Ovis aries: one gene and its partner. The main gene of each other region encodes a partner of the protein of the gene in region 2 in a complex. Links are inferred from orthologs where the notes say so. Each region holds a gene or a part of one and is shown on either strand. Other genes may lie near its edges. The genes, in order: XPR1 and KIDINS220.

Region 1 (16,646 bases), on a different chromosome or scaffold from region 2:
CAATTATTTGGCGCTCAGCTTTCTTTATAGTCCAACTCTCACATGCATACACGACTACTGGAAAAACCATAGCCTTGATTAGACGGACCTTTGTTGGCAAAGCAATGTCTCTGCTTTTTCATATGCTGTCTAGGTTGATCATAACTTTTCTTCCAAGGAGTAAGGGTCCTTTAATTTCATGGCTGCAGTCACCATCTGCAGTGATTCTGGAGCCCAGAAAAATATCTTATCTTAGCCAACAGGAATTTGTTGCATGGCTCAGGAAACTCAAACAGGGGCTCTGTATCGACCCAGAGGGGTGGGGTGGGGAGGGAGATGGGAGAGAGGTTCAAAAAGGAGGGGATATATGTATACCTATAGCTGATTCATGTTGAGGTCTGACAGAAAACAGCAAAATTCTGTAAAGCAATTATCCTTTAGTAAAAAAATAAGTTAAAAAGAAAAAAAATTCTATCTCACAAAACTATTGTGAAGATTAGATGAGGTAACAAAGCTGCTGACACCTTGTTCCTAACTGGTCAATAAATGCTAATTTCTTTCTCCTTAATGACAAAAAGAGCACATTTCTACTAATTCAATTCAAGGAATAGAGATTAGAAGTGAGAATCCCAGAGAAGACAATACTCTTTTCTCTATCATTCTGTGCAGGGGGATATACCAGACAATTCTCACTCATGGGATTCTCTTTATCTTCTTTTGTGCTTCCTAAGACTAGAGAGCTTTTTCTCAGGCCATCTCCAAATGTTCTGAAAGGAGTTGTGTGTTCAAAGGCAGCAACTCTTAGAAACTCTCTCAGGGAACCCAGAAGATCAAAACTATTTTCATAATAATACTGAAATGGAGCAGGGCCCTACGATCTTTTGCCCTTCCCCCACCACCCACGCCACCCTCGACCTGCCTTTTATCTGTGGAAAAACTTTAGTCAAAGATTAAGTTTGATCAGAGAAGTGAGAAAATGCCAGGAAAGAATCCTCCTGCAACGCGGGAGACCTGGGTTCAATCGCTGGGTTGGGAAGATCCCCTGGACAAGGAATGGCTACCCACTCCAGTATTCTGGCCTGGAGAATTCCATGGACTATATAGTCCATGGGGTCACAGAGTTGGACGCGACTGAGCCACTTTCACTTTCATTGAATCCATGTTAAATTTTGAGGTTTCCCAAGTGGAGCTAGTGGAAAAGAACCTGCCTGCCATTGTAGGTGGCATAAGAAGACACAAGTTTGATCTCTGTGTCGGAACGATCCCTTGGACGAGGGCACAGCAACCCATTCCAGTATACTTGCCTGGATAATCCCCATGGACATAGAAGCCTGGAAGGCTACAGTCCACAGAGTTGCAAAGAGTTGGGCATGACTGAAGCAATTTAACACGCAGCTTTATTTTAGATAAGGAAACAGCAACCCACTCCAGTATTCATGCCTGGAGAATCCCATGGACAGAGGACCCTAGCAGGCTGCAGTCTATGGGGTAAGAGTCGGACATGACTGAGCAACTAAACCATCACCACCAGTCATTATAAAGTATAGTCAAAGAGCTTTAGTCCCTTCTCAAGGGATATGGAATAGTCTGAGCCACATCCTGTGAGCTGTCTTACAGATACTAAAACCCCTACCACGTAGGAAAAGTTAACTGCATGATGACCAGACTGTAGCCATGACATAAGCTGCCAAAATTCTGAGAACTGGCCTCAAGGAAACAGGAACAAACCGACCATGGGACTGCAGATTATCTGTACTTAAAATATATGAAACGACGCTGGTCAGACCACCGATAATCAATTTCAAGATGACTGTCAGAGCTGACTGTGCTGTTTCTGCATATAGCTCCCTCCCTGCTGCTGCTGCTGCTACTGCTGCGTCGTTTCAGTCGTGTCCGACTTTGTGCGACCCCAGAGATGGCAGCCCACCAGGCTCTTCCGTCCCCGGGATTCTCCAGGCAAGAACACCAGAGTGGATTGCCATTTCCTTCTCCAATGCATGAGAGTGAAAAGTGAAAGTGAAGTTGCTCAGTCGTGTCCGACTTCGCAATCCCATGGACTAAGCCTACGAAAACTCTTGTCCATTGATTACAGAAGTGGGGCAGGTGTTGGTCTTTGGATAAGTATGTCATTTCCCCACTCCTCCCACTCCACCCCGCCCCCACTGCTGTTGCTGACATCCAAAATAAAGCAAACTTTTCTTTCCACCAACCTGGCCTCTTTATTGGTTTTTGAGCAGTGAGCAGCAGGGCCCCATTATCCACTACAATACTACAACATCATGCACTTTTTTCACTCATTCTTTCACGAGTACACACAGTGGAAGTTCCCAAAGACCACATGAAATGTGATGTCACGTCCCTGAAGGCTAGTAGAAGGTGTGCTTGTATACTCTGTGTTTCACACATCTCTTAGTTTTAATTTCAAACACAGCATATTATCAATAGATAGTGGAATCTTTTTAACAATTTTTAAGAGTTTCAAATGGTACCAAGACCAAAAAGTTAAAGAATTACTTCTCTAAGGTATAGAAAAAGCTCACAAAGCACATGGATTACTCTGTGAATTACAACTTTACCAATTTAGTCTAAATAAGTAATTCACACAATAATCTAAAAGCTTCTCATTTTCCTGTATGATGTTTCAGGGCTTCAATCTTCCAAAAAATGACTTGTTCACTAATTATCTGTGAATATTCAGTGACAGAACTGGTTCTAAGGACTTGCATCTCCTTATTTATGGTCTACAGTCTTTCTAAATTCTGCAGGTCATCTTCAATAAGAGATGACTATGTTTTCTTAATCATCACACTGTCCCTCTCATTACACATAATATGAAAGTTGCAAGTTATGCTTACAGCAAGTTAATTAAACTTTCCCGTGATCTATAATAAAAAACTTTTTAAGGCTTTTCTGATACCACACATACCACACCTGCCTAGTGATAGGAAGAAACAGGTAAGCAAATTTCCTTCTATAAACAATTAAATTTAAAGGTGTATAACGTAAAAAGTTTGAAAAGCCAGGAAGAATTCTTCCATATTATTTACATAGTGATCCAAATTTACAACCATGTTCCAAGTCCTCAATCTACAATCTTCCTTTTCTACACCATTTTAAGTTTTGAAAGCACTATGTTGAAATATGTGCTTGAAATATGACTGAAATATAAAACCAAACACATACACACAAAAAACTGGTTTTTGATAATATTTTTAAGATAAAAGAGATAGAACTTAATGACAAATCTATCAGCCTATAGCACATAACAGAGCCCTTATAAACATGTGTTGAATGAATAAATAATTTTTTTAGGCGTTTGTTCATGAGCATTGTCTACTTGACTTCTTTTAGCATTTCCTAGGTAAGGGGAAGACCTGAAAACAAAAATACAACCAGGTAAGACCCCTAGTGAATTTTGACAATCTCCCAAAGGCCAATTAAATAAATACCAAGCAACCCACAAACTACCTCCAGTTAAGCTGTACAACTTGAGCAAAATCTTCCAAACCTTTTTTGTTACATTACTATTTTTAAAAAGTTTACCATGCACCTCTAATATATGTACATTTATTTATAAATTATCTCCTTCTACAATTGTGTACATTATAAAACATGGAATTTTTAAATGGAAGTTTTAAAAGATGAGACAATAATAAACTAATTTAAACTTTCACTTGTGAATAATACAAAAATATTTTTAAGCTCTCTTAAGAAATTATCAATAACAATACTTTTAAAGAACAATCTAACAGAAAAGATTCACTGCCTTTTAAAATCCTAGTTTTTAGTATTTCAAAGGCCTAATTCAAACTTCAAGATTCAGTTAATTTTGAAACTTGATGATAATGGCTACAAGCTGGAAAACTGACCTTCCAATGCAGAATACTCTAATACATAACATATATTTAGGGTGAAGTTCACTATGGATGACAGTGGATGTTAAAATCTTAATTTGAAGAATTATTTTCATTATTTTGAAACTTTTTGGCAAGCCTGTTAGGTCTATTCAAGTAGCACTGTTTCTTCTGTAACTTGGCTGACAAAAGCTCGTGCTAGAAGTAGAACTGTCAGCTCTGCCATGTTCTTGTTGTTCATGTGTACTCACATTATTGGTTTCTTTACAGGAGTCTTTTTTTAATTCACATCCATTTTATATGGGTTAGTTTAGTCAAAATTAGGTAATAGCCATAAATTCATCTAACTATATGCAACTATAAACTGAACTGCTATTTCCTGAAAGTGAACAAACAAGTGAGAAAACTATTAGCGATTCTTGACTCTCCTTCAGACTACCTCCTAAAATGAGGTCATCTCATCAACATATTTATTCAATGTTAGTAAAATTTCATTTCTTCCTGTCTTACACATAAAAATGAGCATAAGTAACACTTCTAAAACTACCTTCTCTTCCTTCATGGGAGTGTTGGGTACTCTCCTTTGGGGCTATGATGCAACATACTCTATTAAACATACTCTAACATACTCTATTAAACAATGAAAATAACAGTAATAGCTTCCTATCTTATACAACAATTCACTCAGTTAAGAAACATGTGTAAATACCAGGCATCTTATTGCTCTACTCATTTACAAACGTTATTTTAAATATACTATACTATACTTTCATTTGCAGAGGTGCCTGAAAGGAAAAGTGTGGCTTGTGCCCCATCGGGTGGCCAAACTGGAAATTTCAAACAAGTTCCAGCAAGGCAAGTTAACCCTAACTAATCAACATAATTCCTTTGGGAAATTGAAGCCTGCAACACAAGTGTTCTCATGGGAGAATTCTATAAATGAAAATCACAATAATGTTATGGTGTTTCCTTACACTCGAAAAAAGGGATATGCATATTATGCAGAATCCTTTCCATATCTTGCAACAACAAAAATTAAAACTATTACCATCACTTTTTATTTGAGTTCAATAAAAGCTTCATTGGGTCAGTTTTCCATTCACAGATTAAGATAATCATCAAAATTTTTTTAAAAGATTATTAATTTAAAAGAATGCTTTTAATAGTAATACTTTAAGTTCTATCATCTTCATATATCAAGCATAATGAAACCATAAAAATGTACAGAAATTTGGAGCTATATGGGTTCTTAGAAAATAGAGGGCTGTAAGCCTAGAAATCAAGTCCAGTTCTCTCACTTAACAGATGAAGAACCTAAAGCCCAGAAGAGGAAGTGATTTCATCAGGATCACACAGTCAGGATGACCTGACTCTCAATGCTTACACCTCTGTGCTTAAGAGACTATATATGATACTGGACATGTAATTTAACCTTTCTGGATCTTTTCTTCCTCTGAAAAAACCAAGGAGACAGATAATCCGTCAATTCCATTTTAACTCTAAAATCCTGAAATTTAGATACCTCATTATTTTAGTACCTTACAAAACTACAGTATACACGGACAAAACCATTCCTGGTTCCTGAGAAACCAAAGCAGCACAGGACCCTAGGGAAGAAAACACAAGTCAGCAGCCAAAGGCACCAAATATATTTGCTTCTTTTGCTAATATTCTGTAAAATATTAACATGGTCATACCAGTCTGGTGGAAACTGGTCTAAATTAATTTTGATTAATCAATTACAGAGCTCTAAAGTATGCAATCACTGATTCTAAATTTTAAAAAGTGCTCTTGAAAAGATTTATTGATGTTCTGCATTACATGCCAAGATTTATACTCAAATAGATTACTGGAAACAGGGATAGCCTCTTTCCATTTGTGTTTATTCTTTGTAAAAACTATTCACAAATGAATCAAACCAATTTTCTTTGTATGATTTCTCCATGTTGCTCTAATCTTTATGCTTTATTATTCCACCTATGAAGATTGAGTCTATGAACTCCACGATTCATTTTTAAATTAGAAACTGATCATTTTCAGGATATTGATGGATCATTAACACTAATTTTAACAGTCCAAAAAATGAAAGCCATTAAAAGTTAAATCAAAACCCTACGAACTACAATGGATCTTAAAAAGCTCTAACCCTATATTCTTACTTTATGAAAGAGGACAGAAGCCAAGAAAGGCAAAAAGCCTGTCCCCATGGCTTCATGACAAACATATACAAGAATCAGCACTTACTGTATGACTGTGTGTACACAATAGTACATATAATCATAGAGGTAAAACAACATTTTCAGCTTCTGTCTAATGCTCTGATGTTTCAAGTAAAATTTAATGTAGCAAAATGACGTGAAAACCAAAATAGCTGAACAGTTCATAACAGTTCACAGCAGTAGAAAGCAGCCTACACTAGAAATCATGGGTAATATACCAAAATTTCATCACCAGTACTTGAAAAACAAATCCAAGTCTGCTCTACTAACAGCGTTTCAAGAGCATCATCTTCACATGTGAGAAACTACATTTTACTGCCATATGAAAAGGTTCTTCTCTCAAGCAAATGCTGACATCTTTCACGATATTCTTTTTTCCCCAAAGTTTCTAAGCTGCCAAATTCCTCTAAAGATTCTTATTTATGCCTCTTTATTTTTAAAGGAACAACACTAGGTCTTGAGAAACAATATACAACACACAGAATCCCAACCCTATAAAAAATGGCTCCAATTCAAAAAGAAAAGTGCTCTTTATTAATTTTCCCTACCAAATAAAGAGCTTACAAAAGACCCAAGTCACAGAGTAAGGACTCTCTGTAGAATAAAATTTCAATAATCTACAATTAATGCATTTTTTACAAAATAATTTTTAATTGGCCTAGGAAAAAATAACACAGTCATACATATGAAATGTGTTCCTCTCTGATCAACTTAAAGTAAACCATCTAGGACTAGTTAGCATCCAAATGCAGTATGTGAATTAAGTACCAGAATGACTCCAGCCACAAAGCTGGTATTATAAATCAAGAGGTAATTGCATCTTTAAGCCTTACGCTTCTCCTTCCAGCCCTAAAAACTGTATTCCAAATTAATACAATTCTATGAAACAGTTAAGAGCTGTAATACTTAAGATGAATCACAGCATACAACCAGTCACTATAACTTCTCCCCAGATGAAGCATTCCATACTATATAGGATGTTGCTTCAGGATGCCCTGTTCTATGAAGAACTGGCAGTGGTGCTGAAAATTACTACCAGAAAGATGAAAGACGAATAACTTCCTTTCAATAAAAACCATCATCTGGACTCTAGCCAAGGTTTTAAAACTGACCAAATGTTATTAGAAACAATAAATCAAGAGCTCTACAGGCTGAAAAGCTTGTCCCTTATTTCACTCTTACAAAATGTAGTCACAAAACACTATTAGAAAATTAAATGAAAGAAAGCGTTAACAACTCTAGGCCTTTCATTTCTGGCAATAATGAAATACTGTATGTTACCAGGTGAATTTACTTTACAATCTTCAAGGTTCTGTTTAACCTACTTATGTCTCTTTCCTTGCCTTCTTCAATTCTTACAACTGTTATATGAATAAATAAGCTTCTGCGATCGTCTAAACATCCTTTCAATGAACTTAAAATAGAAATGAAAAAGAGAACCAAAATATCTTAATTCATAAAATCTAGCTAGCATATTTGTGTTCGTATTGATTTTATACTCTTTGTTCCTGCACACAACACAGATGTGAATTACCGGAGGTTACAGATTAAGTCTCTCTATCCAGGAGCTGAACTGCCAGCCACTGAGAATAACCTATCGCAAAGCTTAAAACCCTTCAGGTATCTTGGCTTCTGAATACATAAATGGGCTCATTATCTTTACTTTTCCTTTCATTAACGTAAGGTTCCTTATCATTATCTATTAAATACCGTCCAGGAGCTGTTATCACAGAAATTAAGGGTGAGGAGGGCCATGATTTCTGTAATACACAGGAATGTTTTAAAAGTACATTACAAGACAGTACTTTTCTCCCTAGCTAACAAAAATTTTAGGAAAGAAAACCTGAAAATGTTAATAATTCTCTTCTCTTTCTTTCTTCCTCTTCCTTTCACTCCATTCCAAAACCGAAGAGCCAAAACCAAAGATATGATTCCTTTACATATTTCATGAAATCAGTGAAAACACGAGTCACCGTCTTATTATCAAAACAAAACAGTTGATTACGATGTTTGTCTACTGTAACCACTGCACGTGTGATACACATTTAAATCAAGTTTCGATCCTGTTACAAAGCCTTTGTCAACAGTGGGCAAGTGGGGGAAAGCTGAAGGGCTCCCTGAATTGAAGGAAATCACCGGAGGGGCTAATCTAGGAAGAAGATTCCTCGGGGAGAGGTGAGCCGAAAGAAACAAGACCTAACCTTGGCGAGGGGGCGCTCGCCCAGGGTGGGGACCAGAGGTCAGGGTGAGCGGGAAGAGGAGGGGATTAGCGCGGAACCGCTGTACCCCGGGCTACCCTCACACCCCGGCTCCGCTACCTGAGGCTCGCCCTCCCACCACCATTCCTCAGCCCGGGCCGGGGGTGCAGTCCCTCCCGGCCCGGAGCCCGCAGCCCGCATATCCGTTACCCCGGCTGCAACGGGGCTGCGGGGGAGGGGAAGGTCAGCGGGGCCCGGAGGGGGCCGGCCGCGGCTGGGATGCCGCAGTGGCTCCCCGTCGCACCGGGTCAAAGTCCGCCCGGGCACGGGGGAAGCAGCAAGAGCGGAAGGCGGCGGTGGAGGTCGGGACTTGCGAGATGGTGGCCCCTCCAAGTCCTCCCACTCCCCGGCCGCCGCCGGTACCTCATACTGGATATATTGCTTCCTCCACTCGGGAGTGATGTGCGCGGAGAGGTGCTCGGCGAACTTCATCCTGCCGTCTCCCCTTCACTCCTTCTCGGGTCCAGCAGTTACAGGCGGCGGCGGCGGCGGCAACAGCGACTCCGACTCCTCCCCACATGGGCCCCGGCGCGGCGCGGCGCTGCGCTTCTCTCCTCCTCCGCCGCCGCCGAGGTCTCCTCAGAGCCGCCCTCCCGCCATCTTCCTCCTCCTCTCCATAGCCCCGCCCCGCCCCGCCCTCTATACGTCATCGCCATGGTAACCGCCTACGCGCCCCGACGAAAAGGGCGGAGTAAGGGGCAGGATTTGGGTATGTTCCTTAAGGCTCCGCCCCTTCTGGGCCGGACGTACTGAAGGCACCTCCCCTGACCTCTTCCGTCTGGCTCCTGTTGGCCTTACAGCTGCTCGCTACCGCCTGCCTGGGAAGCAAGTGTTGTTATTGCAATTAATATTAATACTGTAGCAGCAATAGTCCACACAATACGTTTATATTTGCAAAGATTTGTGCAAATGTTTTTCCATTTTAATATTTATTCCTCATAAAACCCTGAAAGATGTATCGACATTAATCCAAATTGAGTAACTAGAACAGACTAAATACTTAAGGGCCAAATGTATTTCAAGGAACCCTATTTTACACGCTCTAGGTGCTCAATAAATGCTTATTGAATTTAATTAAAGACATCAGTGCCAAAAATTACATGCTGCCTCTGAATTTCAATGTAATTATCTTGTCCGGGGGATACCAGAAAGGCCAACAACACATGGACCCAAACTAGAATTGGGATTACCACCTGGGCTTGTGACTAAGCTTCCTGGGAATTAGAAGTGGTGTTGAGAGGGAAGCCCATGTTGGAAACAAAGAGAATTCTCTAGAGATAGGTTGGAACCCCACCCTCAGGAAGACCAGACATGAGTACATTTTGCGGGCTGAGTGTCCTCAGGGCGCATGCAGAACAGATCACTCACACAGCTTGGCACCACTTTGAGTGTGGGAGTAACTGATCTGGAGGACCTGATTTTGGACAGGAACCAAGGTCCTTTCGTGACTGGAGAAGCCCTGTATAATGTTAATGATAACTAACATTTGTTAGGTTCTCACTGTCTACGTAACAAATACTATTCTAAACACCTTACATGCACAGTACTTTGTCCTGTAATTCTCACAATTTTTATGAGACCCAAAGACTAAGGGACTACAATGGTTAGGACAGTATTCTAAGATATCAGCATCTACTATTGGCATATTTGTGTTTTCCTCCATGTATTTTTCCCCTTTCCCCTTCCTTTTAATTCATGCCAGTGTGGATTCTGCAGTTATTTCCTCAGGACAGGGATGATGCATGATGGAAAACAGTCATGGGCTATGAGTCTTTCTGACTTTTATTGTACAGAAAGCTTCAACCTCTGGTGAAAGGTTAGATCACTCACACAGCTTGGCACTACTTTGAGCGTGGGAGTGATTGACCTGGAGGACTTGATTTTGAACTATAACCAGGGTACTTCTGGTGAAAGGGTAATTGGGGTCAAAAAAAAGGAGAATAGAAGAAGGAGTGAGGACTCCTCTCAGCTTTGCACTATACCCCTCTGCTCACCATAACAGTTCCCCTCTACTGGAGGTAAATGTTGCCAGGAGAAAAAGACAGACAAGAGAGGTCCATGCTCCCAGGAAGGAGGAACAACCACAGAGAAGAAATGGTTGCATGGTGTTCCTAGGAGGACAAAACCAGGAGCAGCTGCAAAAGAAATTGCTGAGCCTTTACCAGATATGGATTAGAATGGCTGACTCTTTGTTTAATTGAAGTATAGTTGATTTACAATGTTTCAGGTACATATCTAAGTGATTCAGATATATATACATTCTTCTTTTTCAGATTCTTTTACTTTAGAGGTTATTCAGTTCAGTTCAGTTCAGTTGCTCAGTCGTGTCCAACTCTTTGCGATCCTGTGGACCTCAGCACGCCAGGCCCCCCAGTCCATCACCAACTACTGGAGTCTACCCAAACTCATGCCCATTGAGTCAGTGATGCCATCCAACTGTCTCATCCTTTGTCGACCCCTTCTCCTCCTGCCTTCAGTCTTTCCCAGCATCAGGGTCTTTTCAGATAAGTCAGCTCTTCGCATCAAGTAGCCAAAGTATTGGAGTTTCAGATTCAACATCAGTCCTTCCAATGAACACTCAGGACTGATTTCCTTTAGGATGGACTAGGTGGATCTCCTTGCAGTCCGAGGGACTCCCAAGAGTCTTCTCCAACACCACAGTTCAAAAGCATCAATACTTCGGTGCTCAGCTTTCTTTATAGTCCAACTCTCACATCAATATTAAATATAGTTTCCTGTGTAATACAGTAGGTCCTTGTTTATCTATTTCATGCGTAGCAGTGCGTATCTTTTAACCCCAAATCCCTATTTTATCCCTTCCCACCTTTCTCCTTTGGTAATATAAGTTTACTGTCAATGTCTGTGAGTCTCTTTCTGTTTTGTAAATAAGTTCCTTTGAATCATTTTTTTAAGATTCCTCAGGTAAGTGATATCATATAATATTTGTCTTTGCTTGATTTACTTCACTTAGTATGATAATCTCTAGGTCCATTCATGTTGCTGCAACTGGTATTATTTCATTCATTTTATGGTTGAGTAATATTCTTTACCTCATCTTTACCTCTTCATCTTTTGATGGACATTTAGGCTGCTTTCATGTCTTGGCTATTGTAAATAGTGCTGCTATTGAACATTGGGGTGCACCTTTTCAGTTAAAGTTTTCTTTGGAGATACGCCCAGGAGTGGGACTGCTGGATCATATGGTAGCTCTATTTTTAGTTTTTTAAGGAACTCACATATTGGTCTTCATAGTGCCTGTACATATTTACAGTCCCATCGACAGTGTAGGAGGATTCCCTTTTCTCCAAGCCCTCTCTAGCATTTATTGTTTGTAGACATTTTGATGATGGAAGACTATAGACTCCTGGCAGAAACTCCTACAGTTTGTGGCAGTAACTCCTATAGCAGTAACTCCTATAGCCTTCTCCCAACAGCATCATACCTTGGTGCCTCAACTGTGCACAAAATTCTGGAACCATGACCCAACCGAGGGAAGAAAGAAAATCCTCAATACTAGCTCTATAACAAACAATTTTTAATTTTTTTCATGACATTCAGTTGGACATGAGCCCCAACACTTAGAGCTCTGACACTCAGTTGGACATGAAAATCTTAATTTATCTACAGAAGTAGATTTAATGATAAGTGTCCTATTCCTAACATTACTTCAGATAGTTCACTGACAAAACCATCAGATACTTAGTATTTATTGAACACCTAGTTTCTACAGAGCACGGTGCTAAGATACTAAGAATGATAATCTGAATAGTTTTAGTCTGAATCAGAAGTGTTAATTACATTTTCTTTTGTAAATAGACAACTCTTCGTTTATCAACATTTTACTAAGTACTATGATATGTCAGCCATGCCACTTTGAGAATGAAGGACAGTTCAAAAATAAACATGATTCTGTCTTTTCCTCGAAGGACATCAAAATCCAGTCAGAAAGCGAGATAGGCCAATAGCTAGACTACTATGTGATATGCACTGTAACTGAGGTATCTACAAGAGACCTTCGGCTAACTAGGAAGGAAAAGTTGGCATCCCAAAGAATGCGACTCAGATACGGTCTTAAACAACAATCTGACAGGGAGAAAGACACCCCCAAAGATTCCAAAGGCAAAAAGAATTCAGGACTTAGAGAATGGCAGGCTTCCCTGGCGGCACAGTGGTAAAGAATCCACCTGCTAATGCAGGAGAGGCGGGTTTGATCCCCGGGTCAAGAAGATCCCTTGGAGAAGGAAATGGCAATGCACTCCAGTATTCTTACGTGGGAAATCCCATGGACAGAGGAGATTGGTGGGATCCATGGGATCACAGTAGTCCATGGGTCACAACTTATCAACTAAACAACAGCAACAGAGAATAGCACAAAGTTGTCTGACCCAAAGATCCTTTAAGGCAGCTAAATGTCCCTGCCTCAAAGAAACTCTTCCCCATTCCCTTACCTCCTTACCCATTCTGGCTCCCACATCCCCCCGGGGCAGTCCCCTCACTGTATCATCAACAGTGTCAGGCTATGAACTCCTTGAAAACAAAACACACTTTTCTCTCATTTTCTCCAGTTTAGCATGGTGCCTGGCATTGAAGCAGTCAATAAAATATTGATGTAACAAAGGAAAGAAAGAAAAAAGGAAAGAAGGACAGGAGAGAGGAAGAGAGGAAAGAAAGGGCATCCACATGGAGGGAAGTTGCAGGAAATCAAGTTCAGTCAGTTCAGTTCCGTCGCTCAGTCATGTCTGACTCTTTGCAACCCCATGAATCGCAGCACGCCAGGCCTCCCTGTCCATCTCCAACTCCCAGAGCTTACCCAAACTCATGTCCATCAAGTCGGTGATGCCATCCAGCCATCTCATCCTCTGTCATCCCCTTCTCCTGCCCCTAATCCCTCCCAATATCAGGGTCTTTTCTAATGAGTCAACGCTTCGCATGAGGTGGACAAAGTATTAGAGTTTCAGCTTCAGCATCAGTCCTTCCAATGAACACCCAGGACTGATCTCCTTTAGGATGGACTGGTTGGATCTCCTTGCAGTCCAAGGGACTCTCAAGTTGGAACAAAATTGTTAAGGAGTAGATCATGACAGCATAGGCAGTGCAGAATCTTTGGGAAAGTCTGTGAAGTGACCAACTCTGGCTTGGGAAAGCAGTATAGCGTGCCTTCCTGGGTTTGAACTCTGGCTCTAGGAATGAACAGATCTGAATTAAAACTCCAACTCTGACATTTGTAGTCTTTGTGACTTTGGGCCAAGTACATTAGTGCTTAATGCATCAGTTTCCTCATCTCTCACATGGGAATAATAACACTTGCTAACAGGTTGTTGTGAAGGTTGAGATTCTGCATATACAGCGCTTGGCATAATAACTCACCTCTGGTTGACAACTTAGTAACTCGCAGTCTCTCAAAAACCTGTTAACGGCATGAAGGATGAACTAACAAACTGGCAACCAATTCACTAATAAGCACCTATGCAGCATTTAAAGGCTTCCCAGGTGGTGCTAGTCGTAAAGAACCCGCCTGCCAATGCAGGAGACATAAGAGACATGGGTTCAACCCCTGGGTTGGGAAGATTTCCTGGAGAAGGGAATGGCAACCCCACTCCAGTATTCTTGCCTGGAAAATTCCACGGATAGAGGAGCCTGCCAGGCTACAGTCCCTGGGGTCGCAGAGTTGGACATGACTGAAGCAACTTAGCATACATGCATGTACCATTTGCTCTATGCCAGACAATTTTCTAACTGCTTAGCAAATACAAACATATAATCTTCACAAGGACCCCATGACATAGCTACTATCATTATCCTCATTTTAGAGACGAGTAAACTGAGACAAAACAGTTAAGGACTTTGCTCAAGGTTATCCACCTAGTAAGTGGTACAGCTGGATTTGAACCCTGGCAATCCAGCTCCAGAGTCTTACTCTTGACCATCACATTACGCTGACTGTTGATGCAACAACCTAAGCCACTCATAGTGATGGACAGAAGGAGGTGGGGCAAGTGCCTCTAACCCTAGTGACTGGCTAGACACTGCTGCCATGAACTGAGAAATGAAGTGAAGAGCAGATTTGAGGCATTGTTGGATGTGTTAAATGGTTAGAATCTATGAGACACATAGTACTCCAATTGAAAACACAGATCTAGAGCTCTGAAAAAAGAAGACTGGGCTGAAGACTGGGGAGCCATTCACATTTAGGTGATGATTAAGTCCTGGTAAGTCTGCCCAGGGAGAGAGCATACACCAAAATGGAAAGGGGCCCCAGGGATTACCCTGGTGTGAGCCTGATAAAGAACATGGGACAAAGAAAGAGGCTAGGGTGTGGCCAGAGTGCGTAACAAGACAATAAGGAGAGAGCAGTGTCCAGGAAGCCATAAAACAATGAAAGTTTCATAAAGGAAGCAGTGACCAACACTGTCAGATGTTACAGAGGGTTAAGGAAGATAACTTCTAGGCTGTTGTGTTTAGCAATTGAAGACTCACTAGTGACCTCAGAGAAAGTGACTTCCGTAGCATGAAGGGCTGCAGGAGGCCAAGCGGTGAACAGCATTCCTAAATTGCCTTTATTCTGTGTGCATGGTGTAGATCAGGGGTGAGAATTTACCAGCGTACTCAGCAGTTTATCTAGAAATTCATAAGTGCTGAGTCTGAACACTTCATATTTATCACACATAATTCTAAGTTTGGGAACAGTTATACTTACCACAAAGTAACTCTTCTAAAACTTAGAATTATGTGTGATAAATATAAAGTCAAACTGTTGCTTGAGCAAATGAGACTGGTGATCATGCTGAAAGGTGAAGATCTGACCTGCAGAGAGATCAAATCTTATACAACACTTTCCACTGAAGCTGAATTATCTAAGATGTCCTGGCAGTAAAGATGAGTCAACCCACAGCATAGGAACACTGGTAAAGATGGTATTATAATACCCCAAGGCAGGTATGATGGTGGTTTGTATCAGGAGGTTAGCAGTGGAGGTGATGAGAAGTGGTTGGAAATTGAATGTATTTTGAAGACAGAGTCAGCAGGATTTACTGGTGGATTAGACTGTGAGCAAAAAAAAAGAAGCATCAAGGATGACTCCACAGTCTTTTGCCTGAGTAATTGGAATGAGATTGGGGGACATCGCAGAAGGAGCGGGTTTAGGGCGGAAAATGAAACTCAAGAATTCAGTTTGGGGTGTGTTATGCCTGTCAGACATGCAGATGGAAATGAGCAAGGGGAAATTTATGGTTTGGAGGTCATCCAAGAGGCCCTGGGTCAAGATATAAGTTTGTGGGTCAACAGAATATAAAAATATGTAAAGCGACTCATGAAACTGCCCAGGAAATGAGTATAGATAGAAAAGAGACGAGCTCTAAAGACAGATCCCTGGAGTACTCCAATGCTTTAAGGTTGGGAAGACAAAGATTTAAAGTATAAAACAAAGCAAAGTGTTAAAATATAGCAAAGGATAACAATTTTAAAAGGATATTTTTCATTGACAAATGAGAAAACTGTGGTTTGGAAGGTATGGCAGACACTGGTGAGGTTTGGGAGTGACCTTCCTAGATGATGGAATTCCCCCATCCCTTAGGTCTTGATAGGAGGCAGTGCCCAATAGGTATAAAGTGAGTAGATATCCCTACCCCAGCTCTGTGGGGGTATGAGGCCCAGATTTGGCCAGTCAGATGTTCCTGCCAGGAATTTTGTCTCACGTGAAAGTACCAAAAGATGAAATGATAGACAGAGCATATTCTCAGAAGCTAAAGCAGATTTCAAACTTCAGCAGTGAAAATGGTAGTAAATGCCCAGAGCTGGACCGTCAAAGGCAGGGTCCTGATTGTTTCACTGGCATGACCTCTGTGCTGTTCTTGGCTATAAGCTTTTCTTGGCTTCTGCCTTTTTCTTAGAATTGTTTACAAGACTTCACATTGATACTGTGAGCAACCCAATGCCATCCAATAAAATCTATTTCTGTTTAAGTTAAATGAAGTCAGTTTTTCCTGTTTATAACTGAGCACCCTAGATGAGTCATAGGGATTAAGAACTTTGCCTATAGCTATTGCTGAGGAGGTACTCAATAATCAGATACACATGAGTTTTATGGACAGGGCTTGGCTAATGGGCTCATGGATCAAATGGTCATAGTAGCAGGGATGGAGGATATGCAAGAGTTCAAACATATTGCCTTTCCCTCACCAAGGCTGATCTATCAACCGCTTAGAGGGACCAATGCTGAGTCCCTAATATAATTTGGGATAAGTCCCATATTTGGGGTGGGGATAGACCAGTCAAATACCTGGTTCAAGATTGACTACATTGACCTCTTTCCATCAGGGGACTTGGGGAGAGAGGAA
Region 2 (15,866 bases):
ATTATGGAGGCGTTTCCTTTGAGAATTCAGAAGTGAGTCCAGCACCTGCCACCATGTTCGACAGTTCAGCACAAATGCCAACCCCACTATGGACGCAATTGATATGAGGACAGCATTCACTGTCATATGCTTCGGGTCAACTCTGAATATAGCTAGAAGAGTAATTGCAGCAATAATGCAGCCAAAGATGAAAAGGAAGATGACAAAAGATGGGAGACAACACGTTTTTTTCCATTTCTTTTTACCTGTAAAATACGACAAATGGTTTTAACATCTCAAACATCCAGAAAACCCCACTCATCACAGTGACAGCATATGACGAACCTGATGTTCATGTTTCCATGCATTTTGTCCATCCCATCCTCAACCTCTCCATATACAGAAAGAAGAGAAGACGGTCCTACCCTGCGTATCTTCAGTCTTGAACACTCGGAAAAGCCTGGTTGCCAAAAAGCCAAACTCTCTTTCACAAGCATCTGAGAGGGTGGCGATCATTTCAGCCATTGAAGTTTCCCCGCCTACGCTGGACAGTCTATTATAATCTGTAAACAAAAACCTTGGGGAAAGGGGAAAGAAAATGTTATGCTGCTACCTAAAGAAACAGTTTCAACATACATCATGTCTATCATGTAGCTGTGTTTCCTTCATGTCTCTGTCAAAACATTGTTTTTAAAATTCTATTTGTAATTAGGTATCTTCCATTTCTAAGAGCTTATACTCTTTTCTTAGGAAAAGACAGTAACAAAAGTTAAATTAGTAGAGTTATATGAAGCAATTCTGACTAAAAGCAGAAAAGGGAAAAGGTTATGACAGAACTTAGACAAAGGAGCCAGACATCTCCCCAGATCTCATGACACAACAATTCAACAGTGGCGCCCCACATCAGTCAGGAGCCGCACAAAGAACATTTTGTAAACAACAACTGAAGAGATTAGAACCTTGAGAAAATAGTATAGTAATTAAGAACTTGATGCCATTTAAAAACTCAAGCTTCAGAATGTCCTATTTATAGCTTACTCATCTACCAGGGGTTGAGAAAGAAGTTATATTCTTTTCCTAGTTGTTCTGTGAAATAACTGAATTATTTGCATTTTGAACCTCTGAATGGGTATTACTTCTGCATTAGTTCCTTTATTCCTTTCTACTGCTAAACTCCCATCTTAATCTTATAGACAAGCATTGCCTTCAAAATACAATCCAGGATCACAATGTACTCTATGTATGCCTGGTCTTAATTAAATTAATGCTATTTTAGTTGTTCTAACTTTTTATAAGATAATGATCTCATTAATTTTAAATGCTTTTAATTTATGTAAAAATATCTTCCCCAACTCTTTTTATTCTATTCTGTTTTCTTTTTATGTTTTTCATTTTAAATCATTTTCTTAACACTTAATCCTATATACCATTTATTTACCTGTAAGGTTTTATTTTTATCTTCCTCTCATAGTTCTGATGTCTTACCAGGTTTGGTCCATTCACTTTCAGCTTAACTTACACATATTTTATCTTTTAATAATTTCTAAATTCTTAATCTTTGCATATTTAATTATTTTACTAATTTCTGTTGAATTCCTTCTGCTTTCAGTTCTTTAACCTTTTTTTTTCCATTTTACTTTCCTCTGGGGCCCTCCAGATTGCCTTTACTCTTTGACTTACAAGTTTCTCATCTTTTCTGAACTGTTTGCTCATACCTTCCCATTATTATCAGGTATTATCATACCTAATAATAATGATATCATTATCATTTGATATGATGATAACTTTAGAAGAGTGGGTAAATACATATCCACAGGTGAGGAAAGAACAGCTTGGAGCACATGCTGAGTTGGCAAGGCCACACCCTGATGTCAAAAGGTTCCAGGACTCCATCCTAGACCCAGTACTCTTTACTGATTTGTCCAAAGGATGGTAACAAGTATCGTCAGGGGGCAATGTGGGGCTTCACTCAAATAAAATTTGGCAAACCAAAGTTAAATATAATTTTTTATGAAAAGGTGTCTCTGATCCTGTAATGTACATGAGGGAGATGTAATATGAAGAGTTTTCCAAGTGTATTTGACCAGGGCATGTTTATTTCTCACATTAAAAAAGTTTAAGGGATCAATGTGTTTTTTTGGTCTCTTAAAAAAACATGAGAAAAGATGCATTATCAACTTTCATTTGCTTCATTTTATTAAAAGTTACTTCTGTCAAAGGGACCAACTCACCTCACAGGTAGAGCTTTAGTGGTTTGCTCTGGCAGCTCAGGTGGGTTCACAAACATCAATTTGAGGAGGAGCTCCAAATAGCCAATATGTCTTGCCAATCTAGTACTGAGGACCCAGGCCCAATTCCAACTCTCTCCTTCCCTCCGTCCACCAAAGTAAATGACAACTAAAAGTCAAAGTTTTTAAAAAAATTATCCAGAACAATCATTAGTCAAGCAGCCTCTTTTCTGCAAACAGTCAAGTATCAAGTAGTGACAGGTAAGCTTACACACTTTTCATGGTCAATTGTTATTTCCTAATTAGTCCTCAAAGAATTCCTCAACTAATTAACCTCCCCCAACATACATCTGGAGCTTCCCAGAATCCACCTGCCAATGCAGGAGACGTAAGAGATCTGGGTTTAATCCCTGGGTCAGGAAGATCCCCTGGAGTACGAAATGGCAACCCACTCCCGTATTCTTGCTGGGAGAATCCCATGGACAAAGGAGCCTGATGGGCTAGACTGTGGGGTCACAAAGAACTGGACACAACTGGGCGGGCATCTGACCAACAGCAGTAGCAAAAACATATCATCAGGTATGTGAAAAAGAGAAAGTAAGCTGACTAAAATGTGACATAATAAACACAATCAGAAGGATAATGCCTTAAACCAAAGCATATCCTTTAGTTCAGATTCAAATGTCAGAATGACTGGTTTTATCTCTATTTGTGACTGCTATGAAGTTACCAACAGTAAACCTATTTCCTTTCTTGCAACTGAAGACACTCCTAAAAACAGGGATTATATACATTTATCACTTTGCTTTTAGATAAATAAAAATTACAGTCATGATCAAAATGATCAAGAGCATGCCATGATGTCTATGAAGACTTATTTTCAAAACAGATTCAAATATAAATCTTTAACATAAAAAAGGGAAAGTAATTTAAAGTTCTGCTTCAATATTAACAAGTAGTACACTAGCTTTTGAAGTTCTGCCAGGCAGGCTGGGGACAATGCTCCTGTAAGCCAACTTACAAAATAGCAAAAAATCAATATTTTCACCTAAATAGGAAAACCACTTAGAGACTTTAGAAAACAGACATAGATACAGTTTTAAATAAAATAAGGAGTTTTTACATTCTCTACATTTTTGAAAAAGATAAAAGGCAAAGACTTACTAAAAAATATATACAAGACAGCCAAGAAGCTCAATGACACTGCAATTCCAAGATTTGGGTCTACTGTAAAAGCAAACAATAAACCAAGCCCTCCACAAAGGAGCAGGGTCAGAAATACCACAAGCCATGAGAACTGAAACAGAGGTTCAATCTGTTGTCCTGCAAAAGTTTTCATTTCATCTGAAAGAGAAATTAATAAGAAAACATTATTTAAGAAATAGAACATTTTGAAAATTTCACATTTTCACTATAAACATTTATTTACCTACTAGAATGTTGCTACTTAACCATGCTAACCAATGTTCGCTTTTGCTAAGAATCTCATTCCTTAAAGGCACATTTACCCTTGACCCTTGCCCTACCCACTCTCTTGCGTCCTACTGAAAATGTACAAAATCCTCTCTCATATATTCCCATCTGTCAAGGTTTTGTTGATATTTTGAGATTTGTATTATGCAACCAACAAAGTATTATTTCCATATATAAAACTAAAAATTATTACTTTGCTATGTGTCTTCAGAAAACATAGCATCACCATTTCTCTGCACCTCCTCACCACTTCTCCCTCCAGTTACATTTGAGGATCACTGCTCTTAAAGGTGAGCCCAAATGAGCCTGGAACAAGTCATTCATTCCTACTACAAAACTTAGTGGGGAAAAAAAAAAAGGTTACAGGCAATACTGAAACCTGTCCTTGAAGAAACAAGTAAGATTTTGCCAAGCAAAAGGAGTGGGGTCTCAGGTCAGAGGTCGCGGGAGATGTCTAGGAAGCTCCTACAGAGGAGCCACTCCATAAGTGTCTGGTCTGCACCTAGCAGAGCAAACAGCCATCTGTAACTACAGCACTGAGCATGCACAAGAGGTAGTGCTAGAAGGCGGGAGCACACAAGCTGACATGTCTGCGAAGGGCCCTGGTTTAAGATACCTATAAGTTTAAGATATCTATAAACAGTACAGGCAGGAAATCTGCTACGGAGGGGTTCTAATGCAGTGGGATGTTTGTTTTAGAAAGAGAACTCAAATGATTGGGTGGAGGATCAATCACACACCCATACATAAAACTTTATTTTTACTTAAAAAACACACAAGAGAAAACCTTGTTATATACACAGACACTTTATAAACAAGCCCTTTACCTTCTAGTTTCTTGAGTAAGAAGGATTTACCACTTCCCCACTGTGCATACAGGCCCACACAAATGGGCGGCTGCATGGTAGGCTCACTGAGAATATCTGCCAAGGCACTGCTATACAGATCATAACCAAGCATGTCACCATCTGTCTCAGTAGGAGACAAGTGTCCTGTAATTATAAACACATGATACCCTAACATTAAAAAGAGACATTATTATTATAAAGGAGCATCAATTCTCAAGTATTAATTGTTAACTCAATTAAAGGAAAAAAAAGGCTGAAAGTGTTAGTTGCTCAGTCGTGTCTGATTCTCTGCGACACTATGGACTATAGCCCATCAGGCTCCTCTGTCCATGGGATTCTCCAGGCAAGAATTTGGAGTGGGTTGCCATTCCCTTCTCCAGGGGATCTTCCTGATCCAGGGAATGAACCCCAGTCTCCTGCATTGCAGGCAGATTCTTTAACATCTAAGCCACCAAGGTTAGACCTGTGTAAAAATAGGTTCAAAGGTTAATAAGTTAATACCATATTTCACAGAACTTAAGATACCTACTAATTACAAGAGGCATCATTATTATGTTCAACTGAGAGAAGAAATGTTGCCTAATTATGACACAATGCTTTCTCACCCATCAATTATAAGACAAAGTCCAACTTCAAGGATACTAAAATGTGGAGTAAAGTGTATTATAAAATCAATAAAAAGATTAAAACAGAAACTAGTCCATAGGAATCAATTTAATATGTACAGTACAAATAAAAATAAAGCTATAAAATGTTAGTTAAAAACACAAGAGATAAGCAGAGAAAAAAATATTCTATGGTTCCAAGCAGAAAGGGTCAATGACTAAAAAATAGCAATTCTCCCCAAATTAATCTATCACTTTAAGGCAATCTCAATAAAAATTGATGAGAATATTCTAAAAAATTAAAAAACAAGAATAGCTACGAAAAAAATTTAAAGACTACCAACAATTAGCTCTCTTTGGAGAAGAATCAAAATACATTCTAAAACTACAATAATTATAATACCATAGAACTCACACAGGATATTAATGTAAGTGGCATGTCTAATCAGTGGGGAAAGGATGAATTAGTAGGTGGTGTTGGGAGAAGTAAGCCATTTTTTTTTTTTTCCTTCTTTTTAACGAAATTAAAACTCTACATCTCATACTTCAACAAAAATAAGTTTCTGAAACAAAAAATTAAACATAAAGAGTAAAACTATAAAAGTACAAGAAAATACAAGAGAAAAACCTTTAAAAATCTTTGTGTGGAAAAGAGCTTCCCTTCTCAAGATAATATTAAAGCCAGAGCTGTAAGAAAAGGTCAACAAACTACAGATTTATATAACTTTCAAATGGGGAATAAAAAAACTCCCATCACCATAAACAAAGAATAATCTGGGGAGAGAGATACAATATTTAGCTGGATTCAGGATCAATATCCTTAAAAACACAAAAGTTAATTTTATTAAATACTTTAAAAGAAAAAGAGGACAAAGGATACAAAGAGGAAAATAGTAAAAATGCAAATAGGCTATAAATGTTATTAAAAGATCTCAATCTCACTAATAATTTTACAATGGAAATTTATATCAAATTTTTTTATTATCAACCTGATTAGCAAAGGTCAATAAGAAGCTGGAAATATCCAGTGTTAGCAAGGTTGTAGGGAATTGCACAAACGTGGCCTAAGGAAGAAGAGATTGTTACAGCCATTTTGGAAAGTCTATCAAAACTGAATACCCAGTGACTTGCCAGTTCTACTTCTAGAAGTTTATTCCAAGAAAATAATCCTAAAAATAAAGAGTTAATGGATATTTGTACAAGTATGTTCACTGACGCACTAGCTTTTAATTGTAAAACAAACAAAATATTTATCAATAAAGAACTGAACATACTATTAAAACTTTGAAAAATTATGCAACAATCATTTAAAACTTTTATAATATGGTATCTCAAGTTTTTTTTAAGGCTATATACATAGTATAGAAATGTAAAGAATTTACAATTTGTCCAAACAATGACAAATTAGGAGATAAGGGACAATGGGAAGACTGCACTTTTTTCTACTATATTTGTGTTTTCATCCTTAAAATTTAATGCATGTATTATTATCAGAAAAAATATTTTAAAATGCAAAACTCAATAGAATCATGCTTAAAAACAAGATATAAGTAAACAGCGAAACTGGAAGGTGGCAGGATTCTACTCTCTCCTGTTGGTTTCTAGGACTAACATGTCTCTTTTCAATTTGAGTAGAAAATTGCTCCATATTTCAAAAGACCACATGCGAATGATTAGAGTCTCATGTGCATCCTCTACAAGCAAAAACTACTTTAGTACAATATTCAAGGCATTATGCTGGGTGTTACGGAGGATACAAGATAAGAAGAAAGAAAACCTGCCCTGAATAACTTGGAATCTGGGAGAAAATTCTAAAAGAAACAAAATAAAAGGCCATATGTAATAGGTATTTAAAAAGGATTAACACAGCGCTTAAGTATTCAAATGAGGCAAAAATTTTATCTGGTTAGGCAGATCAGTCAAAACGTCAATGAGAAAGAGACGGTTGACCCCAGCCCTGGAGAAAGACGATTTTAACAAGAACATTCATGAGAATGGAGTGGGCACAACACAAGCAGAGGCAGAGAGCCACTCACTGAAAACAGAGCATGTTGATAAAAGAACAAAGTTTACCTGAGAGAATAACAGGGGGAAGAGATTTTTAGAAAAGTAGGCTAGATTTTTGAAGGTTTTAAAAGCTACTGTTGACTCTGAATGTACTTAATTTAGAATGCTCCAATATAATGCAAACGAACTCTAGACAGGAAGAAGTTACTTTTCTACAGCAAAATAATAACATTTTCACCTTTTATAATCTCTGGTTAAGTGATAAACACAAAACTGCTGTCATTCTCTTAATTTTTTCATAGACGTTCTTTCTTAAAACCTCAAGCAGATACAAAACCCAATACTTACTGGCTCCAAATATTTGAGTTAAAATACTTTTCTGATGGCTACAGTCAATATTGTAGGGAGTCTCGCCTGCTTTGTTGGGTCTATACAGTAACCGTCCATCTTTGGGGTTTCTTAAAAGGAGTTCTGCCAGTTTCCGACTCCTCCCACGAATAGCAATGTGCAGAGGGGTGTCTCCTTTCTGTAAACAGTGAAGGGACACTTGAACTTCCCCACTTCTCATGGACGAATATACAGAATAACATTTTTCATATTTCTACAAAATAACAGAATACCCAAACTCTCCATATTTTTCATATAAGTTTTTATTTCTATCTTCCTTGCAATTTTCTTTCTCTAGTTCCTTCCCTAGCTTTTCTTGGGTAGGTATTCTTTCTCCCAGAGCCTCCAGAATGAAAGAGCACAAGGAACAGGTTTCCCCTGCTGCTTCCCACAGGCCCTGGATCCATTTCCATCATAAGTTAATAGTACTTCCATCTACCATTCAGATACTAACTGTCCACCTATGTCAACCTTCTTCCTCAACTAATTTATATTGTATTTCACAATGCTCTCGTCGTCGGTCTACACAGCATCTCAGTCCATATTGGTATTTCACTACCATGAGTGAACCTGTCTTTCCCCATGCCCTTGGTCACCATCATCGTCTTTCTCTACACTTTCTCCCTCGGAGTCCTCTCTGTTGTATCCACGTTCTCTGCCTACTTACCACCTCTTCATTCCCTTAGCTTTCACCTCTCTCAAACATCAACCTGCCTTCTTCCCTTATTAGGATCTCCATCACTTTACTCTTCATATCCAGCACTAATGAAAACTATCATGTAAAAAAGAAATTTAGTCTGCAAAGACTAAACTTATTCTCCACCTTTTACTTTACAAACATCTCTTAAAGACAATGACCCAAAACCTAACAAATTAAATTCTTAGTTCCCGCCCACTCTGGTCGCTCCAGAACGTTAAATGGAAATGATGTGCCACGTTCTTCCTGTGGCTTATCTTGATCCTTCCCTCTTATTTCTCTGCAACAAGATCCACCCTGGTGACATCATCCTTGCATGGTGCTCAATGCAGCTCAGCTCCCCGTAACGGATCTGAGCCACAGAGGGAACACAGGAAGGAACTTCTTAAACTGAGCCTGCCCACTCCTCAGCACCTCTCAGAATAGCCAAGATCTCACAGCATTCAAATCCCACACAGATATCCCCAGTCAGTAATCTCTCCTTCCACAAAATAAAATGAGACTCCCCTAAGTCCACCAGGTATACAGGTTGGTCTTACCAACTGCCCTATGCTCTCTGCACAAATGTTTTAACTACCTTATCAACAGCAGACACTTTGGCTCCTTTATCCAGCAGCAGCTCTACCACTTCTATGTTTCTCATCTTGGTAGCCTTTATAAGGGGTGTTTCGCCATCCTGTGGGTACAGATAAAAAGGTTTGCCAGATTAATATCTTTAGTCTTTAAAGTCACATAAACACACGTCAAGAAGTCAAATATTTGCCCAGTCTATATTGAAAATGTTCTCAAGAAAACACAGTTGCAAAAACTAACAAGAAAGTGCTTTTCCTTCCATAACCAACCACTTGTATCAAAATACTTGTATGTCACTCAGCCAAGCAAGGGATGTACCCACTACTTGCTTATTAAAGAATGACCTAATTGCTTTCAAAACCAAATTAAGAGAAAGAAGGGACCATAGTTCAGCACTGAATTAGGAAGAAGCAAAATGTGTCAGAAGCCACATGTGGTCAGAGCAGCTGACACACAGTTTCAAAAGAAAAAAGATTCCAAGGAGCCTGCAAACCAGAAGGTATCCAGGGCACTGCAGTCACTATCACTAGTTCAGATAACACTGCTCCAAATCTCTGGTAGATGAAACAGGGCTGTATTATGGGTGCTTCCATAAGTCTGCTTTATTCAGGAAGAACTGCCATTCCATTTCAGAATTTCAAATATAATTTCCTCAAGAACAACTACTACACAGAAGGCCAAATATAATCACTGAGGTCTTATACAGTTTTATACTTTGCACATGGAGTAAAACAGACTAAAGTGGTTGGTTTGAGGAACCAATAACCACACAAACTGATCTTTTAAAAAGAAACATGTTCAGCATTCCAAACAACAGGAGCATAAATTAATTCTGGGGAAATGATCTGGCCACAGTTTATGAACAGCTGATACTGTACTTTCTGAAAGTATCTAATTAAAATAACAAATTACACAGTGTATTCTGCTGTGAATACACAACTCCTAAAAGGATATAAAGCTATTCCTCAACTTAATACAGAACACTACCGGTAAAATCCCTGTCATTCTAATATCAAACAGTTGTAAAAACTGAAGCAAAAAAAAAAAGCACTACTAACATTCAGCATTAGGTATTGCTAAAAGGATAGAAATGGCGTTTATACCTTCGTGCATATTTCAGTGTCAGGATTGCACTGTAAGATGTCTCTCACCATTGTTGCATTTCCTTTCTCAACAGCCCAATACAAAGCAGTTTTATTGTCCTGTATTAATTTTAAAAATCAACAATCACTTCATATAAGACAGAATATTAAAAATTCATCAGTATTAACATTTCTGTCAGAAAGCATTAATATATTTTACCAAGAAGCAGCATGATAGAAAATAATATTAATCCTTATTGTACCTTGCATTTACTTGTGGGAAATTCTTTACAAAAGAAGTCTAGAAAAACTTAACACTTCTTGATTAGGAAGCAGCAACCCCACACAGCTGATAGGGTCAACTATGCTTCTGGAATGCAATCAGGTTTCAGGACCCCGCACTGTGTTGGAGGTCTTCAGGACTTGAGCTGTGTCCTTTGAGAAGTCACATAAATATTCTGACCTTGGCTTGTGGCTTTTCATCTGCCCTATCTTTTCAAAAGATAATGCATGAGAATGTACTACACAAACATAAGCTGAATTGTTTCTGTCATTCTCAGCTTTCTTAATCTCCACCCATATCCATAAACTGATTTTCATCAGATCCTTTAAAATCCTATCTAGTTCAAACACCAAAAATAGATTCAAATGGATTTTGAAAGCAGAGCTAAAGAAGAAAAACAAAAACTGATTAAAATGTTGGAAAACAGAATTGACAAACACAAAGGAGTTAGATAAAAGTCAAAATAGGTGATCAAGGCACCTACTTTTAGTGAAAATATGATTTTTTCCTCAATGAATGACTTTCAGCCACTATCACACTGTTTGCTTCACCAACATTTTCTCAACACAGTTCCCTTCTCAAAACTGCACACTAGCTTCTGAACCTTCTGAGTTTGACACTCTAATCTGTACTTTACTAACCTCTAACTTTGTACTTTACTATCTCCCATCCCACCCTCCTTAACAATCTGATGTATTCATTAGCTAAGGACTACAGTCTTTCACTTTCCCACTTTCCTGAACTTTCTCATCCCATTATTCTACTATCCTTGCCTGAATTACTCAGCCTTTCTTCATCCAAACTCAACCAATTTTTCAAACTAGCAAATTCTACCTTCCCTCAAAAGTTCTCCTTAACGCCCTCTTTCACCACCTCAAGACTCTTACGTTTGAATCTTCACTAGGCAATCAACCATACACTATCTGATATCAAAAGTGGCATCACTTTTTATGTTTAGGTAAAAACGTAAGTTTAAGTATAAACTAAATGAACTAAAACCTTCCGAACTAAAATACATGTTTCTTACAGGCAAGAGGTCCATGTTAAAAGACTCTCATGGCATTTGGCGTAATGTTTATTAGTTTGATTCAAAAATGGATTTGTATACAAGGAAAAAACTGAGCAGAAATACAGACTGTCCAACAGCAAAATGGGTTGTAAAGTACAGATTTTTCTTTTTTAATCTAAAGCTTTTGACATACTGAATAAATTTACAACTTTAGGAGTGCTTTTACCTAAAATGAATAACCTTTATAGCTCTGTGAGCTGTGACTGCCTTAAACAAAGTCCACAGGCACTACCAAGTGGTCCTGAGAAAGGCAAGCAAGTGGGGGAAAGGAGATGAAAGACTGAAAAAAAAAAACAAAACAGGAATAGAATAATACACGGATGAAGAAGACAAACAGAGGGAGAACACTAAAGAAAACAAGTCACACACACTCAAAGTGCTGCCATTTCTCAGTATTATAAACTATTAATTTCAGGATTGAATATATTTAGTCATTAATAAGGGAGGTGTACTTGAAAAACATGAACTTATTTATGGTTCATTTCTATCTAACTTGACATTAATACAGAAATTTCAAAATAATGGCAGTGAAACTTAATTATACAGGCATCCATTAAATGTAGTAGTGTTTATGAGTTTAACTTCATATGAAAACTCAAAGAATGACATTATGATCAACCAACATATATGACCAATTACAGTCACAGATAACAGTCTGTAATCACACACACCTGTCCTCTAATGTCAATATCAGCATATTTTTGTAGAAGTGCTCGAACAATTTCCACATGACCACCTCTGACAGCACCAATTAAGACAGTATCTCCACTCTAAAAGGACAAAAAAAAAGACAGCCAGAGATAATTGATGAGGAAAACAAAAAATACTGTTTTGAAGTTAAGATTAATCATATATTAATACAATAAATTTTTTTGGAAATGTCTTGGGAAAAAAGTATCTCAGATACTTTCCATAAACAATAAAGTTTTAGGTAACTAGTATTAATACCTGATATTAATGCCTGTAGAATAAGGGACAGAAAACTATACATCAAAATGAGGACATTTATATCTGAAATTCCAGGACAAAAGTTTAGAAAGGTAAGTCACTCAGAACAACAAGCCATTCTATTTTGAAGGCACCCTCTCATTACAAATGTAAATTAAATAAAATGACGCCATGACTGTCAATGAACCAGATGAACCTTTGCAAATTACATAACACAAACCCGTTGGAATCATGCTATCTGACAAAAGCCACTGACTCTAAAGGGAGCTGCAAAGCTAGAGCCATCTGTGGGTTTATAACAACGTTTAATTAAGGGACAAGGTTGGTTCCCAGAACAGAATCTATATTCTACTTGGCAGTACAGACCAAGAATGCCCAGGACTGACTCATTCCTCAATACAAGGTTTAGATGAAGTTCATTACCTCATTAAGGACAGCTCTGCCCTAAAATTATATTCACCAAGCAATAATCATTATTAATTATATCTTTCCCTACTTCAAATACTGTAAATGGCCTTTTTTTTTAACTGCTAAATTACAAATCAGTTATACGGATTTGAGTTGTATCATTCCATGAGCTATAGCTCATCTCAATCCTAAGCGGGCCCCAGTGGGCTGCAATTCAAGATGCAGGCCATTGAGAACTGAGCCACGATGTAATATCTTAACTACTACATTAAAAGTATAAACCCATGGCAAAAACACTTTGAGAATATTAGCATTAATGTGGGTTCAAACTAGGATATTAACACAAGGTTCTAAATATTCCATTGCTTACTATGCACCATGCACTATTCTAGGCTCTAGGAAATAAGTTAGACAAGGTCCCACCTCCGGGAGAATGTATAGTCTAGAGGAGACTCACAGACAACATAAACAAAAATAAAAAACAAGATAAATGTAATGCAAATAAAAGAGAGTGATGCAATAGAAGGTGACTGGGGAGTGACTTTAGTCACTGAGAATTCAAGACTAATGTGTACAGTATGGGTCTTTAACCCACGGTAGATGGTGGAACAATCTGAGATGGAGAAGTCTGAGGGGAAAGCAGGTTTGGGATCAAACAAACAAAACATCTGTTTTGCTGAAAATTAAGAGGACCATTAGACACTCACATGGAAAGTTTAAGTGGAAATGGACATGCAAGTGTATACTTCTGAGAAGAGGTCACAGCAAGAGATACAAACTTGAAAACGCTATTAAGTGTAAGGGTGGTACCTGAAGTCTTAGAACAACGAACACCACCAGCCATGAACAAGACCTACAGTAAGGATGATTTTAAGATCACATTATCAATAACAATATAATTTTTTTTAACTGAAAAGAACACCCTTCACAAAGATTAAATATGTTTTAACTTATTAGTTTTAAAGGTAGAAATAAAACATCTTAAATATGTTATGCAGGAAGAACCTTGAAAGGTGTTGAGAAGTTAAGGTACCTTCCATCATTATCACCACTGGAAGACAAGTTCTAAATAGACAACCTACCCTATCAGGTATGTTCACATATGTCCCAGCATCAAGGAGATCCTGTACAATTTCTGTATGTCCCTCCTTCGATGCGATCATCAAGGCTGTATTTCCATCCTTATCTGTTAAATTTACATTTGGATTTCGCTTCAAAATTTCTTTCACTGACTGTGTGTAGCCTCCTTTTACTGCCACAATAAGTGCAGTCATTGAATTCTAAAGTACAAACAAAAAAGTCCAATAAATTAGTCATTTCAGACAACTTAATTTATGCCCTAGTCAAAAACTGATGTTTTCAAATAGGTGACCTATAATTACTAATTATTTCTGATAATAAAATGCCAACATAAATAATCAGAAATGATCATACCAAAAGTGGTCAGGAAGCATATTTTCCATTCTTGAAGATGTGTTAGTTCTCTGACATCAAAATCTTTAAATGATAACCTAAATTTGGACTCATTTACAATGAACAAATCCTCTCACAAAAGTACTGAATGGTAAAATAGCTGACAGGATGATTCAAAATTAAACACATTCTAAATGAAGTAATCCAAAGTAAGGTTAACAGACTTCAAACAAGTAACAATCTGTAATAGAATCTATACAAAAAATGTAAGTGAAACAATGAATTAAAAAGTATAGAATATTTCAATAACAGTATAATATATTCTTCTTTCTTATAGTGACCCAGAAACCACATTTTCAAAACGATCTTATTTTTAGAGGTTCTTTTAAAAACTTTTCACATTTAATTTATTAAAAATAAATCACCTAATATAAGAATCTGACTCACTGCAAAACAAATATTAAAATTTATTCTTGAGATTTTTATCTAGTTTGAGATAACATGCAATTCCCTTATAGAAATATTTTAGTTATTATATCAGCCCCTGGAACTAAGCCATAACTCTCAATATTAAATAACATAGCCTTTTCAGATTCTTCAGCAGTCAACATAGAGACAGGCCACTTATTCACTTGATAAACTGCCCAGAAAAAGGCAGGTGAACAGTATGGCTTCCAGGGTTGGGTAAGAATCATGCTCTGTCTCCACACAGCAGTAACATACTCCACGCCCCTTGAGGGTCGGCAATTAGCAGCTCTGCCACCATGGAAAATAGGAGGAGCTGGTTGGTATTATGTCAAGAAGTCAATATGACTTAGAGCCCACTCTTGCTACACTGCAGCCACAGGTTTGCTAGCAACTCTTCTCAGAAGCCCTCATGATCTACCTCACATAATCTAATAATTATGTTAACAGAAGACTATATTGTTTCTTGTGCATAAATATCATCTCCTTTAACTATATTCTTAGAAGTTCAAGAGAAAAGTGATGTGATGGTCTCCTCTAGTACCCCCGCCACATCTGGCACAGGCCAGGTACAAGCAGGGGCTCAATAATGAATCCATAACTCCTAGTCGCTAAGATATACTGAACCAATTTTTAAACTATCTAGGTTTTCACCACTGATTTCTGATATTTTAAAATCTATCAGAGAAGGAAAACAAGTTACAGCTTAAAATATCAAAAAATTAAAGAAAAGGTATTTTGAAAGAACAGCAATTCTTTCCACAATAGTAATTCAAATCATTTGATGTGGGAAGTACTTTATACTAAGATTACTAAAAGATATTCCTTATAGCTTTAGCCTCCTAAAATTGATGTGCATTGGCAAAAACTCCTTAAGAGCACATATTTGTAATATATAATATCTAAATTTACCAGGATAATATGTTTGTTTTTCTAAGTATCATTTAGATACTGTAGGGAAAATTTTCTAGACATGTGCTAAGGAAAAAATATTCTCTCTCAAAATTAAAAATATCTCTCTACTATCAGCAGTTAAGTAGAAAAGATACTTACAGCTCCTTCTTGATCAACATCAGCTCCCATGGCCAATAAATGTTTTACACATTCCAAATGACCTTTTCGTGCAGCCCAAACCAAAGGGGTGGTTCCATACTATTATAAGAAATAACAAATTTTAAATTATTATTGAAGATATATTAAAAGAAACTAGGCTCTCAACATGAATTTTGATAAAAATCACACTATTTTTTTTTAATTTTTATTTTTACTTTATTTTACTTTACAATACTGTATTGGTTTTGCCATATATTGACATGAATCCACCACGTGTGTACATGCGTTCCCAAACATGAACCCCCCTCCCACCTCCCTCCCCATAACCTCTCTCTGGGTCATCCCCGT

What was found.
Region 1: the proteins of KIDINS220 (region 2) and XPR1 are in contact, whole or in part, in a cryo-EM structure (PDB 9JXQ), measured with the Homo sapiens proteins. The link is inferred for Ovis aries from reciprocal best matches to the Homo sapiens genes KIDINS220 and XPR1. Residues at the interface, in NP_065789.1 of Homo sapiens: Glu36, Cys37, Gln39, Asp70, Trp72, Met102, Trp105, Trp110, Tyr113, Lys114, Val138, Ile142, Trp143, Gly146, Arg147, Ser166, Asp167, Lys168, Tyr169, Gly170, Trp176, Arg179, Lys180, Gln198, Glu199, Gly200, Ala201, Ser203, Lys234, Arg267; in NP_004727.2 of Homo sapiens: Leu95, Lys189, Lys190, Gln193, Glu197, Ala200, Asn204, Glu205, Ala636, Asp637, Asp638, Leu641, Leu642, Gln644, Met645, Met646, Asp647, Gln648, Asp649, Asp650, Val652, Arg653, Asn654, Arg655.

The regions. Positions count from the first base shown.
Region 1 is NC_056065.1:61,203,090-61,219,735, reverse strand, and holds the start of XPR1 (solute carrier family 53 member 1), read right to left. Parts: upstream 8,916-16,646; 5' UTR 8,743-8,915; coding exon 8,674-8,742; intron 1-8,673. UniProt on the Homo sapiens protein: Inorganic ion transporter that mediates phosphate ion export across plasma membrane.
Region 2 is NC_056056.1:18,279,499-18,295,364, forward strand, and holds part of KIDINS220 (kinase D-interacting substrate of 220 kDa), read right to left. Parts: intron 15,618-15,866; coding exon 15,519-15,617; intron 13,868-15,518; coding exon 13,670-13,867; intron 12,002-13,669; coding exon 11,903-12,001; intron 10,000-11,902; coding exon 9,901-9,999; intron 8,901-9,900; coding exon 8,802-8,900; intron 7,667-8,801; coding exon 7,489-7,666; intron 4,673-7,488; coding exon 4,508-4,672; intron 3,552-4,507; coding exon 3,372-3,551; intron 2,377-3,371; coding exon 2,211-2,376; intron 557-2,210; coding exon 405-556; intron 246-404; coding exon 1-245. UniProt on the Homo sapiens protein: Promotes a prolonged MAP-kinase signaling by neurotrophins through activation of a Rap1-dependent mechanism. Provides a docking site for the CRKL-C3G complex, resulting in Rap1-dependent sustained ERK activation.